2 linked regions of the Drosophila melanogaster genome follow. The protein of the gene in region 2 purifies or fractionates together with the protein of the main gene of each other region. This does not show direct contact. Each region holds a gene or a part of one and is shown on either strand. Other genes may lie near its edges. The genes, in order: CG3708 and FBXO11.

Region 1 (3,722 bases), on a different chromosome or scaffold from region 2:
ACGTTCGCAGCATGCTGGAGAATTTTGAAGGTAAGTGCGGCTCAGTTGCTCCGAGCAATAGATTGTAATACCGTGTTCTCCTCCAGAAATACTCAAGCTGGCGCGCCGTGAGAGCCACAGCCAGATTTCGAAGACCACGCAGTGCGAACAGGATGCCCTGGAAATGCAGGTCCGCGCGGCCAACATGGGTGAGTAAATCCACTCCCTGGGAACCAGATTCGAGCCATTTCCTTCATGCATTCCGCTTTATAGTCCGTGCCGGCGAGTCTCTGATGAAGCTGGTGGCCGACCTAAAACAGTACCTAATCCTCAACGACTTTCACTCGGTCAACGAGGCCATCACAAACAATTCGCAGCTGTTCAGGAACACACAGAGCGAGTGCGACAAGAAGCTGATGAAACTTAGGGACGAAATGGCCATGGACTTGTACGACCTGGAGGAGGAGTACTACACCAGCATTTTTAAGTAGCGCTAGGAGGGGAAGGGGTTCACCTTATTTGTGATGAACTGGCTTTGGCCGAACTGTAGAATTTAATAAGAAATCATTACCACATTCACTTGTAAATTTTGTTTAGCAAACAGCTAGTCGCGTCGCACTCACAAGACCTGCTCCTGTTCCGCCTCCGAGGACAAGGAGCGACTGTCCGGAGAGGCCGCGCTCAGGCTGTCAACTAGGTCGCCCGTGTAAAAGAGCACCGCCTTCGGGACGATTTGGGTGCGTAGCAGGAAGCCCACTTCGAAATCGTTGCCAAGGATCAGCTTGGTCTTTTCATCCGCGAGCGACAGGTCCAAGGCCTGCGGCGGAGCAAAGAAGCGAAAGAAGGACTCCCGAGGCATGACCTTGGTGACTCGGTGTGCTCTGTTCCTTCGCCTGCTTTCCACCGTTTGGAGAGTGAGATTGGAGCCATCGCGCCAGTGGATGTGGCAGCCTTCGCAACGAACTATTTCGGGCCCTTCGAACAGAAAGGGATACTCCGGGTCCGCCGAGTGCTGCAGAAAGTAGCGCTTCGTGAGCAGCAGCGAGGAATCGTGCAGGAAGCTATTGGGCCGAAACTGAAAGATGACCATGTAGCTGTCCTGGTCGTAAGCCAGGCGCACATCCATTAGGCTCTCCAGAAGCGGCTCGTCGTGATCCTGGACCAACTCCGAGAGCAGGGGCACGTTCTGGAAAACTGTCAGCCAAAAGCGTGGAACACCCAGCGTAGTCGGCGAAACCGGAGCCAGTTTTTGCCTCAGCTGTCGCAGCTCCTCGTTGTTCCCGAAGTCCAGGTACAGAGCATCCTGCGGGTCCTCGGGCCAGGTCTTCTCCGTTTGGATCGGTGGCTCCACCGAACCCTCCAAAATATCCCGCCTCGCATCGAAGAGCGCGCAGCTCTGGCCGTAGAAACGTCGCTCCAGCTCGTAGACTTCCCGGAAGAACTGCTCCGAAATGCGTACCTGTTGCAGCTGATTGTGCCGCAGTGCCCGTATGCGGTTCTGCACGGGCTCCGCCAGCTGGCCGATCATGTGCCGCAGAAAGGCCTTCCGGCTGCGGGCGGGAAGGTCCGCCGGACTCAAAGCCGGCTCTGTGGACTCCTGGGTATATGTGCCCAGGGAGCGCAAGGACCCGCTGATGCCGTCTGCCCTCGACTCCGTGTGGCTGTCTTCCTGGGTAACCCCCTCCGCGCTGTCAGCCATCCCAATCATTGTGCAATTCGGTGCAATAACTTCGAAATTTGGCAACATATATGTATATAAATCTACAAGTATATTCCAGCTCTGCGACTGGGCACTTGGAAACTACTATGCTAGATCAAAGCTGTTCCTTGATTTCCACAGAAACCGGCCTACTACTGGGAACGAAAATTCGGCTGATGATTCCTTGGATTTGCCCAGAAGCAATCGCATTTTTGATTACAATAACTGCGTAATCTAACAAATAATTTCGCCTACGAGGAATACCACTTCAGAGTTACGTGCATAATTAATGAAGGCGAATTCCAGAAACAGTGCATGATTTGCCGAATTCCGGGCAAATCGGTGGCCAATATCTGTCGGCGGTTGCGTTATCGGAGCTACCTGCTCATGAGCCCAGATATGGGCTGTGGACTGGACACTGAAGGGAGGGTCATGCCCGGCACTTATCGGCCCACCATAAGCTGACATTGCGGCAGGTCGGAACCGGACGGCAGCATAATGCTCCATTCAGATCCCGAGCATGGTTTATTTTGTTGGATTGAAGCTATCTGCCCCGCCGCTCGCCTCTTATCTGCGACACCTGGGCACTTGGGCCCAGTCTTGGTGCCTGGTCTTGGGTTTTATTGGCCCGACGGAGCGATAAGTGGGGCCCGTTGTCTTTTGGGTGCCATAAACCGATGGCCCGAATCGCCATTATTTATTGGGAGAAAAACCGAAGTAGCTGTCCAATCTAATCCGTTCGTCTGTCGCATGCTAATTTATGGGCGACTAATCCTCACGGGGGGTCCAATTCCTCCACCAGCGATTCGGTAATCTTCCTCATCGACCCGAGTCCACCAGATTGCAGCTGCACCGGATGGCCTCCAGTGGATATTGCTGTTGGATTGTTGGTTAACTGAATTAGTTTGGACTTACCGATGACATCAGCGCGGCCAATGACTTCAGAATCTCGAATGTCATTCAAACAAAATCTCTTTATTTTGATAGGATGGGTCTCCCCCATACTTTTACATGCTATCTTAAACTGAAAACAAAAACAATTCGTCGGCGTCCTAGAAGATGAAGTCTTCGTCCTGGCCCTCCTCTTCCAGCAACGAGAGGCTTCTCTCGAAGCGCTTGATGTCCTGGTACCAGCCGGGGTCCCCGGACGATATATCCTCCGGCCTGCCGCCCTTGTGGCGGTACAGGAACTCGGCGTGGCCCTGGCCGGGAACTCCGTTGACCGTGCAGGCCACAAACTGGTTGAACACCTTAGACTCCCAGTCGCCGCCGACGTAGCGCAGCGCGGAGGCCTCCACCTGGATTTGCACGAGGTACTCCCGCTCCTCGGTGCGCACAATGAAATTCTGGTGCTGCGGCGGCGTTCCCTTTTCGCCGTACGAGTACAGCTCGAAGTTGCTCCCGGTCAGCGGCTGATACTGCCGCTCGGGGCTGCACACGTAGCCCACCTTCAGGGAGGACAGGAAGAAGGACGGCTGACTGAGGCTGCCCACCACCATGCTGCTGCCATCGTCCATAAAGAGGGCAAAGTACACGTACCGGTTGATGGAGCTTAGGCAGCGCTCGGTGCCGAAGCTGTGGTCCCGGAAGCCCACCATTTTCAGCGCCAGCTCCTTGCCATCGAGCGTGACCTGGCCGGCCAGTTCTCCGTTCTGTTCGTAGTGGGTGCGCTTCTCTACGATGTGGTTGACGCTGCGCAGCAGGCTGTAGAACTTTTCGTTCCAGGCCTCTCTGGCTATGGAGTCGGCTATCAGGGCGCTGCTCAGATCTCTGTTGTAGTCGAAGTGCTCAGCGGAGGAGCTTTCGAAACGGAGGTCCAAGTCCACGGCTACGTCCTGCACGTCCGGCCCTTGAGTTTTCAGCAGTCCGGAGTACTTGAGCCGCCACACACGCATAGATGCCTCCTGGTAGACGTGGAAGCCTCCACCCTGGAACGCGTTGCTCTCCGCTCCATCCGCGGTGGTGAAGTATACCATATCGGGCAGATTCGGCGAACTGAACAGGCCGCTTTCGGGAAGCCACAGGTACAGTGCCGCCTTGAGGA
Region 2 (7,961 bases):
GAGCTGGGCATGTCGCCAATCGACTACGCCAAGGCAGCCAATCATGCCCACATCCTGACCCTGATGCGTTTCAAGGAGAAGGAGCTGGCCAAGAAAGATCCGTGTTCCTGCACGCAATAGAAGCACTTTTAGCAATGTCTGTTTCTAAATTCCAAATTAAAAACTTATCTCAACCTCTTTTCTTAATTTTTTTTTGTCAAATTTCAAATATTAGCTTATACCTTGTGTATATAATATAAGTATGTATATTTAGTTGTTTGTCCAAGTCAAGGGCGACGTTATTTGCTTGCATAGGTAACACATTAAAATCAATTTCTACATAGTATAGTCGCACGTCGAGGACGCACTTAAATTTTTGTTAGTAAAACAATACAATCGGATGTTCGTATATTTCATATAGTTGAATATAGAATATAGTATGCAGTATTTATGTGGTTATTTGATCCGTACAGCGATAAATGGCCTACGATGGTGAACCGTTGCGGAAAACACGGGCAAACAAATATAAATAAAATGTAAGGCAATAAAAACAAAATACTTAATTCACACACGCAGTTATCGGATAATGTCATCTATGCAATAGTTATGGGTTTTGCGTTACTTACACCTAGGCTACTACAGACTTAAATTATAAAAATGATTCGCATAATTCGAATACTCGGCCCGAAGACAAACTAAATACTAAACTTTTCATCAACTTACTGAACTAAAATGACACATGGCTTGTTTCTATTTCTCGCTTAAGTTTGAGCTACAAATTTGTTCTACAACATTTAGACATGAAATATTGCTTGGTATTTTACGCTTGGTAAAAGGCTTTTGATTTTGTATGTTGTCCGTGTGCTGCATCCGTAGAATTCTCATGAATATATATATATATATATATATATATATATAAAGTGTGCTGTATATGCTGTATAATTATGTTATGTGTTTACTATACTCGTATATTCATAGGTTAGTTTGCTGAAGCATTGGCTGCCGCTAATCTAGTTTGTTGTTAATACTTAGAATTGCTTTCTTCGAATTGTTGTTAGTCAGGAGGGGGGACATCTTACTCGGTTCGCCTGTGTATGTGTAAATCGCTTATGAATATATCTTATGCCTACACGTAGTTTATGTTAATTGATGTACTTTTAAAATCTCTACTAATCTACATTACAAAATTGTTTTTCACTGGGTTTTCGAGAGGGCTCTATCGCGCCTCCTTCGTTTACATTTTGACGTACAAACAAATGCATTGTGTATTTAAGGTGTTGCTCCTCTTTTTAGTTTTTCATTCGTTGTGACATAAATGGGAAAAGTTTCAGTGGTTTTTGCATTGATTTATCCGTAACATACTCAGTTAAAAAGTGAAAACTTTGCGTGTGAGTTCGTGTTAAACTAAATTGCACATTGAGTAAAATTTTGAACGCAAGAATAATTAGTTATTATTTACATACAATTAATTGTATTGTGTATAGTTTTTTTTTTTGTTTGTTGGGTTTGGGTTTCTTTTGAATATTTACAGCAACGCGTGAGATGTGCGAGAGATTTGAGAGATTGGCCTTAACGACTTAAGATATATCTATAGTGGATTAGCTGCCGTTGGGGGTTCTCTAGTTGACCATCAGTGTGTGTGATTCCATGGGGGCTGCCGAGTCGTAGAGTGTGTCCGTGTCCTGAGTGGGTTCGCCCTGCAGTTGACACTGATTGGACAGGGTGCCAGCACCGCAGTCGCAAAAGAAGCTGCAAGATATATAAAAAAAATATATTATTTATTTATAAAATATAAAAATACAATGTATTAGTTCTTCTCTGCTCACTTACCGATCGTGTCGTATAAACTCGACGTCATGACCAGCATGACAATTCTTAATGCAATTGACGCATATGGCATTGCGGTCGGTTGTGTTGCAGGTCTGGCAGCGGTAGAAGTCGTGCATGGGAAAGGAGGTGTAGCTGCTAATCTTGTACAGGCACTGCCCGCTGGATACGGCCTTTTCCACCTCGTCCTCGTTGTTGAAGATGTTGTTGCCCCGCGTTATGGGCTGAACGCCGCTGGCTAGGCACAGCCCACCAAACTTGTTCTTGAATATCTGATTATGCTCAAGCGTGGCGGTGGCATTGTTGGTTATCTCCACGCCCGCCGCTTGGCCATCGTAAATGCGATTCCGTCGCAGGATTGGGTGGGATTGTGTCGAGATGAGTACACCGGCCTGTGTGTTGCGGAATATATCGTTTTCCTCAAGGATGCCCTTGCCGCCGTTGAAGATGCAGATGCCGCCATCACGACCGTCATAGATCTTGTTGCGCTTTAGCGTCGGATTGGAGTCCGTTTTAATCCAAACACCGGCCATGGCATTGTCGAATATCTCATTCTGCTCCAACAAGCCCAGACCACCATTATACACCAGTACTCCACCATTCTGTCCGCCCCAGATCTTGTTGCCGCGTATTACTGGATTGCTGCCCGTGCGGATTTGCACTCCCGAGTACAGGTGGTTGAATATGTCATTGTCCTCTAGCTTTCCATGCCCGTTGTCATAAAAGTAGACTCCCACTTGCTTTCCCGAATGTATTCGATTGCGTCGCAATACTGGAGTGCTCCCAGTGGTTATCCACACGCCAGCCAGTGTATTGGAGTACACCTCGTTCTCCTCTATCAGCCCTTGACCCTTCTCGTGTACATATATGCCGCCGTGTTGGCCATGATGGATCTTGTTGTGACGCACTATGGGATCACTATTGGTGCGAATTTGAATCCCTGCCAGAGCATTTCCGTAAATGTTATTGTGTTCGATAAGACCCCGACCCTCGCCAAAGATGTACACTCCTCCTTGGTGTCCGTTGTAGATCTCGTTCTTGCGGATCGTTGGATTGCTGTTGGAGGTTATCCAGACACCTTGACGACAAAAAGCGTGTGTTAGATACCATTAATGATCTAGTTCTGGCATTGTTAGCTTACCTGCAAAATTATTTGAATGAATTCGGTTCTCTATGAACTGACCAAGTCCGTTCTCGTGCACATAAATGCCGCCCGTCTGGCCATGATGGATTTCACACTTAACCACGGTAGGATTGGCTCCGGCCTTAACCTCGAAACCAGCTATACGATTGTTGTGGATATCATTCTTCTCAAAGTAGCCCTAAAAAAGGATATCAAACATTAAAATAGTTAATATGATGTTAATGTTATATTCCAAATGAATTACAATGAGTTGTGGTAATACAATTAGCTTCAGCTTACCATTCCATTTTCGAAGGTAAAAATGCCCACATCCCGACCGTGGTGTATGTGGTTCTCTCGCATAATCGGACTGGCGAAGTTCTTAACCCAAATGCCCGCCAGTGCGTTCCGGCTGATCTCGTTGTGCTCGTATGTTCCCTGGGCGTAGTCGGTGACGTATAGACCTACATTTTCGCAGTCGCTGATATCGCAGTTTCGAATGACGGGATTGGCGTTGACCCCGCCCACACAGACGGCAGCACCCACCACCGAGGTAGAGCGAATGATGCAATTGTCCACAGTTGGAGAACAGTTCTCGCCGATGTCCAGGCAGTAGTGCTTGTGATGCGATACTGTTGATGTAACTTCAGGCGAAAACTTGAGTGTGAGGTAACCCACGTAGGCGTACTTGGCCCCCTCTACAAACATCACAGTGGATCCGGCCTCCCGTTCCAAGATCACTGATTCGGCAACGTTGCCAGGCGCTGCACCAACAAGTGCCACGTCCGAATCGATGAACAAATATTCCCCCTTGTAATGACCAGCATGTAGGAATATCAATGGTCCAGGATGCTCGGTCGGAGCCACTTGTTCCTCATAGATGTTGACCAGTGCGTTAACGCTGGCACCACCGACTCCCGCTGACGCACTTGTGTTGGACAGTCCGGCGGATACCACATTGCCGGCTCCTGCACCGGCTGGCACAAAAACTCCTGCAGCCGCTCGCTCTTCTGGGTAATCCAGAGCCGCCTGAATGGTGTTGAAGAACACAATACTACGGCCAGAGCTGCGACGCTCCTGGTAACCGGGACGCACGTGCACACCGCGGTACAGCTGGCGGAAGCTCTCTTTCCACGGATTAGCGTACTCCGACTCTTCGGGCTTCTCAAACACGAACTTGCACAGTTCCGGGTTGAAGAGCGGCAGGTCGTACTCAAAGACAGACTGATAGAGACGCTTCCACAGCTCCGTGTCGTTGGCAATGGTGTTAAAGCGCTTACATACAAGCGCCAGCCGGCATAGGTCCTGTTCCATAAGATACGAGAAGATGGCCAGCAGTACCTCGTCGGGCAGTTCATACTGAAGGTACTGGGCCGCTGTGGGCGCACAACCTGCTCCGCCGGACGCAGCTGTTCCAGCTCCGGCTGCTTCACCTGTGGCACCTGCAGACGGTCCCATCTCTCCGCCTTGTGTGTAGAGGCGTCGAGATCTTTTCCTAGCCGGCAGCATGTAGTTATTATCCTCGATGGCAGCGCCAACCGGCAGTGCTCCACAATGCTGTTGCGGCACCGAACTGTGGACATTGGGTGGCTGCGCCAGAGTGGCTCCAGTGGTGGGTGCATTGTTCACCGGAAAGGTGGCGCTGGTCGAGGGCGCCTGAACATTGGACGAGGAGCTCGAGGACGAGGCGGACGAAGACGACGAGCTAGAGGAGGAGGACGATGAGGAGCTGGAGGGCGAGGCACCCGGATTAACCAGTGGCGGGGAGCTGCTCGATGGTCCCACGAGTATTGCGGCAGCTGCTGCCACGGCGGAAGATGAACTAGTGGGCCACTGTTCGTGGCTGCTAGCGGAGATCTTTCGGCGCAAGTCGTACGGGCTCTGGTGACTACTTCCGGCAGAAGCGGAGGCTGCAGCTGCTGCGGCGGCCGACGTGCTTGCCGTACTAGATCCGACTGTGGCGCAGGTGGACTTCGAAGCGGTGGTGGAGGAGGCTCCTAATGCCGGTGGCGTTGACTGGCTGGTGCCGGCGCCCGAACTCTCAGTGGTGTCCATCATTTGCAGGGCATTGTAAAAGCTGCCAGAGAAGCCCGATGAAGCTGCTCCGCTGGATCCACTAGCTCCTTGGCCGCTGTCAAAGTACTCTGCAGAACTAGAGGCTCCTGCTGCAGTAGGTCCGGCGGCTGATGCTGCCGCCGCTGCAGATCCGGATGTGGAGGTGGCGCCACTGCTTCCGCTACTGCTGGCGTTGTTGTTGCCAACGCCACCAGCCCCGGAACTACTGGCGGCATTGCTGTTGGAACCGGATGCACTGGCTCCCGCACCGGCGGCGGTCACGTTCTGCTGAAGCATGGGGTCCATAATGTTGCCCGTCGGCCGGTTGGGCATTGCTATCCGGTTGGCTCCTTTCCGTCGGGAGCGGCGCACGTAGGTGCGCGATGAGGTGAATGAGGCGCTCGGCATCTTCGCTTCACCTGCCCAGCGATGATCAGTTTTCCACGAGTTAATCAGACCCAAAGACTTTTGCGTTTGAGTTTTCACAGTTTTCCAACCCCATATGCACACGCACTCACACTGGCATACACACACTGCCACATGCACATGCACAATTTGGCGACGACTTTTCGCTCTTTCTCTCGTTCCCCTCACTTCGCTTTCGATGTGGAGTGCCACCGATCGGTTCGGATTGGCTGGCTATATCCTTGGACCCTTCGATTGATTGTTAATTTAGCTACATTTGCTAAAGTTTATCCGTCTGCTGACTGCTCTTCTTATTGCTAGCGAGTGCATGTGTATGTGTGTGCGAGTGTGCCTTTTTCGGGGTTTCTATCCTTTGTCTCTCCTTTGTTTTGTTTTATTTGGTTAGAAGAGCACCGCTAGCGTACACGCTGGTCTGCTCCGTCTCGCTCACTCATTGTTACTCCGTCTCCCCTTTAATTCGTCTTCGCAGCAGACACTCTGATTTCTTTTCGCTTGTTTCGCGGTCCAAATAAACACTTTTCACAATGCAAATACGCAAGTTCTATCCAATAGCTTGTGCACTTGACACAATTGAACACTTTTATTCCAAAATTTCAGAAGCGAAACCACCTATACTCGGAGTTTTAATTTTAGCGTTGAGAGTGACCGCTGCTCGACTGATGGAAAATACCAGCTAGCAACGGAAAAAAACCGACAGCGCCTTAAAGACGTTTGGTATTTTTTGGCATCGTTTTTGTGAAATCGATTTTAATATCGATGAAATTGATATCTTTTTGGCGCGTATTCAAATGCTTCGTGTCTATTTTAAATTATAATGCACAATTAAATGTATGCTTTTACCGCGTTCATAAATCTTAAACATTTTAAATTTTATAAGTTTTAAATGTTTGCATTAAGTTGTACTGATTTTGGGAGCGCGTGGTAAACAGCCAACATGCAACCAAACACATCAGCTGCAGCATATCGACAATTAAGGCCGCGTCACGCCTCCTTTGGGTATAAGTTTCATTGTTCACCTGCTTGTCATTGCCGTTTTGCGCCATGTTTTGACTGCTTCATTGAACGAGTGCCCAACATTGAACTTCGCACACGCGATTGCATCGACTATGGGAAATTGAACTTAAATGTTTCTTTTACTGAACTTGTGACCCAAATGCCAAAAGGCACGTGTCAAATGTTAAGCATACTTTTTATATAAATAGCACTCTTTGGAGTTCGCTGTCCAGCTGGATTCCAATTATTAAACTTAAAAGTTACAAAAATCAGACGTAGTTTCGAAATAAAACTAATTAGAGATAAGAAATAAATAATTTTTTTTTGTTTCAATTTAATTGTGTAGCACCGTATTTGACACTCTCAATATACAAACAAATTGAAAAGAGTTAATCTTAGATTTTACTTTATTCGTTCACTTTTATAGTTGAAACATGGGCCATACAGCTGCCCTAAGATGATTTGTTAATCATTTGTTTATAGTTTTTCTCGACCTATTCGTTGTGTCCTCGTCCACTCGTCGTTTTCCGTAATTTTTTTCCGGTTTTCGCCACTTAAACCAGCTTGTAGTTACGAGTGTTGTTTTGGTCTGCGCTTTGTGGTGCCCATTTAGAGGTTCTACTTCCTTTACATTCCCTCACCCGGCGTGAATGATAATGGCATACGCATCCCTTTGGTCCGACGCCACCGAAAAGGGGGGTGGGTGGGTTGACTATGGCCATATGTTCTCGGGGGGTCTGGTGTCCTGTACTCCCCGGCATCTCCTCGCCGCTGACCTCAATAATAATTTCGTCTAATTGCTTCGTAATTATGCCGCGCACATGCTTTTCTTGATTCGCCCGTTGTTGGTAATTCACTTGGCCCCCACGGTTACCTTCCTATCTTCGCTGGTGCGTGCTCTCCTCTCCTTTGAGCTCTCGAGGATGTGAACGTGAATGTGGGTGGCCTCAAGTGGGCGGTGGTCGGTGGCCTCCGGTGGGTGGAAGCGTCCGAGTCAACCATTTTCGCATATTATTATTTGTCTCCTTTGTTTTGCGCAATTTTTCGTCATTTGCTTCATTTTCTGTCATTAGAGGCATTTAACTTTTTGCTGTTTTGCCTCTTTTCCGATTTGCCTTCATTATTCAGGCGGCCGCCAGTGCCAGTGCCAGTTTTCGCATTTCGGATTCAGGCCGACGAAAAAACTGAGCAAATGGATTTTCCTGTGGTCAAGCTGAAAGCAGGGCAAAGGTGGACAATTAAATTATTATTGCCGCGATATTTAGTCGTGTAAACAACATTAATGTGTCGAAAATAATAACCACTACCATATTCTTTTAAAACTTTTACTTTTACTTAAACTGAAATCCTCTGTAATGTATGAAATTCTCCATATGTGCTTTCTTTTTAAGTGCACCTCATTTAGGAGCTGCTACCTTTAAGAAATTTTCCTTTCCATACCAATTTTCTTTTGGGTAGTGGCAACCAAGGAGCGGATCAATGTGTGTCAATGGGCCTGTTGCCTCCAATTGAATCCACCTGTCCGCTGGCGGAGTGCCGAGCTGCATGCCTGACATGC

The links.
Region 1: the proteins of FBXO11 (region 2) and CG3708 purify together in Drosophila melanogaster (affinity purification with mass spectrometry, with the first as the bait; one large-scale study listed by BioGRID). This does not show direct contact.

The regions. Positions count from the first base shown.
Region 1 is NC_004354.4:928,298-932,019, forward strand, and holds CG3708 (uncharacterized protein), read right to left. Parts: upstream 1,802-3,722; 5' UTR 1,688-1,801; coding exon 599-1,687; 3' UTR 501-598; downstream 1-500. Other genes in the region: MED22 (mediator complex subunit 22), read left to right, coding at 1-30, 87-188, 253-470; CG3706 (uncharacterized protein), read right to left, coding at 2,731-3,722.
Region 2 is NT_033777.3:9,803,291-9,811,251, forward strand, and holds FBXO11 (F-box protein 11), read right to left. Parts: upstream 6,079-7,961; 5' UTR 5,393-6,078; coding exon 3,230-5,392; intron 3,129-3,229; coding exon 2,948-3,128; intron 2,885-2,947; coding exon 1,810-2,884; intron 1,729-1,809; coding exon 1,599-1,728; 3' UTR 196-1,598; downstream 1-195. Other genes in the region: CG8526 (uncharacterized protein), read left to right, coding at 1-120.